2 linked regions of the Drosophila melanogaster genome follow. The protein of the gene in region 2 purifies or fractionates together with the protein of the main gene of each other region. This does not show direct contact. Each region holds a gene or a part of one and is shown on either strand. Other genes may lie near its edges.

Region 1 (3,233 bases), on a different chromosome or scaffold from region 2:
CAAGCAATCCAATATCAAGCCGAACATCGTGGTCGAGATTTTCAAGCAGGTGGTCAACAAGATGAACGAGCGAGAGGCACTCAATCCCCGAATCGTTAGTCTTGTAGCCAGCTTGCTGGCAAAGACAATTTGCGAGCCAGCATTGCTGAAGTTAAGCGATATCGCCAACTTCACGGACAATGGCCAACACTATCCGCTGTTCCTGCTCGTGCTGCAGCAACTGGTCAAGGTCATCGGCAAGGATGCGCTGGAAGAGAAATTCCGGGCGAGCAAAGTTGATCTTATGAACAGCCTGCCGGAGGCGGATCGGAACAAGGAGCGCTTGGCCGGGATACTCGAGGATCGCAAGCTTTCTTTCCTTTATCCGCTATTGAAGGTACAGGCCGAGATGCTAAAACAGCTGCAAAGCGACCCGAACCCCAACAACTTCTACAAGTGGATCAAGGCCAACGTTGACAACAAATACTACAAGGACCCGGGCTTTATCCAAGCCCTAATGACCGTGGTGGTCAAGTATGTGACCAAGGAGACGACGCTGGCGGACAACCTCGACCCCAAGGAGCACCCTGAGAAATCGGTGACCCAGAAGGAGCAACAGCTGCTGGAGAACTACAGCCAGATGCTGCAGACCTTCCTGGGACAGAACGAGCTTCAGTTGATGGCTCTCTATGCTCTGCAAACGTTCTGCTACAATGAAAATTTCCCCAAGGGTAAGTGCTCAACATTTTAAATCTAATCTGTTTTATCGGCAACTTATATTTGCTTTTTTCTTCGTTAGGCATGCTGTGCCGTTGGTTCAAGTATCTTTACGAATCTGAAATTATAGAGGAGGAGGCATTCGTCCTGTGGAAGGAGGAGATTTCCGACAAATATCCAGGCAAAGGATCCGCTTTGTTCCAAGTGAACGCCTGGTTGACTTGGCTGCAGGAGGCCGAATCTGAGGACGATGAGGATTAGAAAGCAACGCAGTCCCGCATAATAACAGCGCTATATGTTTATCACTTCCAATATTTATTCACAAATCGATAATGATTACATGATGAAAAACAACAAAACTAACAAAACACGAAAAATAAGAAACAAAATACCATCAGGGTGGAAGTTTGAAATCGCGGTTGCAAAACTTAGTCAAATTATAGTAAAAAAGAAAAACAAAACAAAAAAAATTAATCAAAATTATTTGATATCCAACAAATTCAAAGAACATTAACAATCAATTATCAATAAATAAAGCGCAATAGACGTCAAATATAACCGATATTTATCCATACATCATAATTCTCATTGACATTTCAAGCATAACGAATAATTAGTGAATTTCATCTTTTTTTTTTAACATAACAACCGGAACTGATCTTTAAATCGAATAACGTTGATTTCAATTGCCTTTTTTTGGTACTCTCGACGATTTCCCTTTTGTGTATTTAAATAAGTAGGTCAAATCAAAGCGACAACATTAACATTATAGAAAAGGAAAAACCAATCGACGCGCGCCGAAGAGAGCAAAACAAAATCTGAATGTAATTGTGAACAAAATATCGTATATATGTATTTAACTCAACCAACGTAAACATTAAAAAACTCGCCCACATTAAATAGAGCCTTAATAAATGCAACCAACACTGCGAACGGCGAAATCAAACTGACTTTCATTGGCTTTTGAGGGAGTAATGCAAATTTAAAATCCGCGCCTAAGCTCTGTAATAGCTGCCTATCGATACAATTTTCGATTATTTTGAAAAGCTATCTATGGTCGTTTCGTTATCTGGCAACACCGCTCCGGTCAAACTTGCTATTTCATTGTTTTCCTTGTGAATATTGCTTGTTTATGTATAAAATTCACGACTAATGGATAGCGTTCCTGCGAATGTTGTGCCTGCGAAGGAGTCTGGTGGTTTCACCTCACATTGCGTCCACTTGGCGGCGGGTCCCTCGCAATTCACCGTGCGCGCCCTGAAAATGCAAGGCAGCACCATGCTGATCATAAACCCCAAGGGATTGGAGGTTTTCGAGGAGCTAGCGGTGGCCATGCCCTCTCGCAATCCCGCCAGCAGCCAGTCCCTATCCTCCACAATCCTGGGCGGACACGGGCAGACCGACTCATCTGTTCTGGCCGCCAAATTGAGTAAACGCTACTGCCGCCAGTTCTACGTGAGCCTTAATCTCAAACTGGATCGATTAATGGGCCCTCTGTTCGAGAAGACGCTAGTCACCTACATGCAAGACCATCTGGAGCACTTCGCTTGAGTGGGTACAACAACTTAGTGTGGCATAAATTTAATCCTCAATCGCTGACTTATTTCTGGTTCACGTGCACACAGGGCCCGCCTGCGCTACCGATGACACGGCGCCGCGTGGGGGTCAACGTCTATTTCGGGGACCGGCGGCTACCCCACGGACGCAGCTTCACGTACTCTACGCACTCCATCAGCTAACTATCTGGGATCTCCGATTCCCGATCTCCGCTCAGACGTCATGCGGCGGCCGAGTGAGCACGAACTTTAAACGTGTATCGGTGATACGAATTTTGTACAATAAATTTATTGCCCTAAGTAAGTTTACAGACGCATGTGGGCTTTATCAATTGTGTCGCGATAGCAGTGCTCAATGTAAGAAGAAGTCACCCGCTGTGTGAGTGATCGCGTGCCACCCGCATGCTATTCATGCTGCTGCTTCACCACCCAATGATTTGAAGGTCAGTTTGGCTGCAGTGATGATCGCTTGATAGGTGATTTCCCCGCCATCGTATTAAATTCGAATATACATATGTGTGTGTTCGCATTGCGCCGGTTTGTTCATCAGGCCTCCGTTTCGGTTTCCCTTTCGAATGAATGTTTAGGTTTAGGGAGAAGTTAATATGTAATAATCATTCGGAAGTTTTCCAAATGGGTACCATTTCAGTTTGATCACTGAATACCTCTGACAAATAATATCATTAGATTTGTTTTTATGTTGTTAATTTGAACTATTCGAAAAGTTAGTAGGATACCACTATCAAATGTATGTATTAACTAGCGGGTTTACAATTCACAATGTGATTAACAAGCTTCTAAATTTGTGTGAATAATACTGGTTGAAAATATTATATCTCTTGTTACAGTTCGTTTAGCTTTTGAAAAAATGATATTGGTGATGACTGACTATAGGAACTCTCAACTTTACTAATTACCCACGAGCAAAAAGTTGATGTCACTTCCTGCATGAGTTCCCAATTATAATGATTGCGATATCCA
Region 2 (3,801 bases):
GTGGCTTATGGGAGGTCAAAGGTTTTGGAGCGACAGACAACAGATGGGCGTACTGGAGCACCTGTGCATAGTGGGCACAAGGCAAAGGTGGCCGAGGCAAACAGTCGACAAAACAAAATCAGAGTCACCTTTCCCACCACCAAAGGATGAGGATGTGTGGCAAGGAGTGGACTTGCGATATAATCTTATAATGATGCTGGTCTCCGCCGGAGTTCCAGTTCTCTAGTCCCAAGTCCTGTATCCTGTATCTTGTGCATCCCCATTTCGAATTCCTGGCCTTATTTACACGTCCTCGCAGTTCATCGCCTGATGGGATGCTAGTGAAGTTGGATCCCGATTACGGGCGGACAAACACCTGGCCTCCTTCAAATCCATTCACCGCATTCTCCGCCAAAAGGACTCCCCAGATGCTTTGCCGGATTGATGGCAGTCCAACCATTGGGAATTGCGAAGAGATTCAAACAATTTTCGAGCAGAATGCTAGGCCACGCGACGGGTTCGGATTCGCAACCAGCTACACTGTGAGAAAAGAGCTGGCACATCTCTTGATTTATTTGACTGCCATACCACGGGAGTTCCGTTCGTTTGTTCTGAATTTTTGGCCAGTGCTCTCTAGTGGGCATGACCAACTTTACAACTTTCCCGCACATTCTATGCCCCCTAGGAAAAACGCCTGATGTTCCTGGCAGCCCAGAGTCGCAGAAGCAACAACATGATGCCAGAATTTCTAGGCAATCTTTGCATTCTGTGAATGCATTAACATTTATGTAAAGCCATGTGGCTATTTAACGGTTAATTTGCTCGAACTGAAATATATGGTATGGATGTCTATGGTGATTTAGTCTGCGATCCTTCGGGCAGTTCCTCATCCGCTTGCTGGGAATCCAACTGAACGCCACTGGTGCCCGGCTGTTGATCATCCACTGCATAGATTCGCTCATCGGTGACCTGCAGACTCAGCACGGAGATCGAGGTGACCATAGTGGAGTTGGGCTTAATGCCGTATTTGCCCAACCGCTCGCCTTTCTCGCTGGCAATCGTATCGGTTCTCAGGTAAACCGCTCCCTTTGCGGTGATCACGCATAAATCGATATTGGATCCGGAGCCCAGGTCGTTGAACACACCCGCCGAGATGGCCTCGCGGACCAGCTGCTTGCCCTGCTCCAGGTCGAGATCGGGCTTCCAGCCGTGCTCCAGCACCGACATGGCTGCCAAGGTGCCGGAGCCCATGGCCGCGTAGGGTATCTTATCGTTGGAACCGCACGGATAGATGCAGTACAGCTGCGGCCCAGTCGTGTCCACGCCGCCCATCACTAAGGCGGCACCAATGTGACCCTGGTAGCGAAAGAGGGTCCTGCGAAGCATCATGCTCGCACAGACTACCGGCACCCGTCGTTCGGTGTTCAGCCGGTGCAAATCCAGCTCGGCGCTGGTCGTCAGGGTAATCATTTCGGTGTCGGCAGCGGTGCCCGCGCCACAACAGCTGCGAATGGGTAATGCAGATATGTAGGGGTCCATTTTCAAAGGCGCATCAAGCGAATGCTGGGTACTCACTATATGTGATCCTGAAGGTGGTGAATTTTTGAGCAATTCTTGTCGGAAACAATGGGTCCCTCGGTGGCACGAGTGTCGGCGCCCAGGATAACGCCGTCCTTGTAGATGATGCCCACAATGGAGGTGCCTGTTTTGATCGCCTTCGGTGGCTCATATCCCTTGGACAAAAGCTCGGCATTTCTGTGGAGAAAATCTATTCGTTTTGGATATATTCATAATGATCAACATGTCTCTTACCGCCTGCAATTTATAAAGTTGAATCCGGACCGCAAGCCAACAAAATCAGCGGATGTATTCGCCTTTCGGGCGGAAAAAGGAAAGAGCATCGTGCGGATGTATGTAAATATATAATGTAGTGCGTTAGCTAGACAGTAAAATCAAAGATAACTTATCAATGGTTAAAAAAATAAACAAAGTTTAATATTTGCTTCTACGAATTATAGTCACAAGTTTTATGTTTTTCGCCTGCAAACACTGAGAGCCCATAAATAGTCTAAAAATTGCATATTCATGATGACAATTGATTTTTTCGCTTAATGAAGAGAAGGATTTTAAAACGAAATACTTTGGAATCGATTGGAAATGTGCTTGAGCGTAAAGAAATCGGAAATGTGCACTCGTTTGGAAGACCATCATAAAAAAGTGACCGGTGAAAAGTTATCGATGCAGCGGCAGCCATTTCCACCCATTTCCACCCAATGCCACCCATTTACCAACTGCACTTCAAATGCCAAACAATTTGACAAAGCTTAATTGGTTGCCTAGCCCACGAATCTGCATGTGAGTGCGATTGCCTGAGTGTGTGTGTGTGCGTGGGCGTGCGTGTGTGGTCGAAAGTTTGTCCATCTGACATGAGAATGTGTGTCCTTTCACACGCACACACACACACACAAACACACTCACGCGCACAAATATGAACTGACAGCTCTGCATATGTATTTGTATTTGTATTTGTATTTGTATTTGTATTTGTATTTGCACTTGCATTTGCATTCGTGTGGGTGCTCCATAATCCAAGGACACGGATACTCAAGCCGAGCGAGTGGAAATGGAAATGGGAATGGGAATGGGAATATGTCCTTGTAACTTGGTCAGTTTCAGATGGCCGACACCAGCACATGTGGCACAAATCAATTAGCATTAATTAGAATACAATTATATTTTAATCAACATTTGGCCAGCAAACTGCGACGATTGCAATGTTCACTTCAAGCTGTGATTTCACTTCACTTCAGTTGGGTTACCAAACCACCAAAAGGACTTCGCCATATTACGTTCATGTATATGTTATTCAATTAAAAAAAAAAAAAAGAGTTTACATACAGATAATACGAAGAGTGAGATATATGTATTAATTGAAATGTTTTTGAGAAAAATGCTGAATCAACAGGGATTCTTAAAGTGCCTACAATTAGAAGAGCTTTCATCCTTCGCTTTTTCAAGCCTCGAAAAACTTTTCCTCCGCAATTTAGGGCCGCAAAACTTTTGCAACAAATGCAAATGCAGCTAGAGTAATTTTCTTTTTTACCACTGCCATTCGCAATATTTTCGTCCGGGATTTTCCGTTTTTGGACAGCAGTTGGCTTTTCAATTAGGCGGCAGCACAAACACCTGACGGCGAAAATTCGGCGAGAATCGACATCCGATGGCAGGCCTAAAAATGGAAAACTAATCAAGACTTGGCATTCAATTTTGATTTCTGTTTTGTTAACAGCAATTGGAAAAGTTTGACGCCCGCACTTACCCTCAAAAAAAAAAAAAAAAAGAAATCGAACAGGTTGTTCTGCCCTCCATGGGAATCCCTTTTTTTTTTCTTTTCTTTTCTTTTTTTTTAGGGTTTCCCTTCATTTTATGTGGCCGTAACTTTGCCCAGGATAATTATGGTGAAATGCCGCCACTGACAAAAGGTTGCGTCCTTAGCTGATTGGAAGATTAAAATTTAATAAGATTATAAAGTCATTTGGGGCCCGTTTGGTGGATGTTTATTTGGGTTGCCGCAAATAACGCCATAAATAAATAAGATAGTCACTCGATGTCATCTGGTTATTGATTAAGTAACTGGTGTTTAAGTTATCGAATGGCTCTGAGAAGCTGACCTTTTGCTTAGATACTTAATAAGAACTATCCAGCAAACTGGATACATTTTTCCATTTCTCACTCTTTATAGTCAAAGTGCGGTTTTTTAATGGAAATTTTCGCCTAGCCTGCTGCCAATATTTAGCATGCTAATGACTTTCAGTTAGCTGA

The links.
Region 1: the proteins of Prosbeta2R1 (region 2) and CG13319 purify together in Drosophila melanogaster (affinity purification with mass spectrometry, with the first as the bait; one large-scale study listed by BioGRID). This does not show direct contact.

Annotation. Positions count from the first base shown.
Region 1 is NT_033778.4:12,922,101-12,925,333, forward strand, and holds CG13319 (uncharacterized protein), read left to right. Parts: upstream 1-1,803; 5' UTR 1,804-1,848; coding exon 1,849-2,247; 3' UTR 2,248-2,251; intron 2,252-2,321; 3' UTR 2,322-2,564; downstream 2,565-3,233. Other genes in the region: NAT1, read left to right, coding at 1-710, 779-957.
Region 2 is NC_004354.4:5,807,085-5,810,885, reverse strand, and holds Prosbeta2R1 (proteasome beta2 subunit-related 1), read right to left. Parts: upstream 1,933-3,801; 5' UTR 1,881-1,932; coding exon 1,792-1,880; intron 1,735-1,791; coding exon 1,555-1,734; intron 1,484-1,554; coding exon 829-1,483; 3' UTR 728-828; downstream 1-727.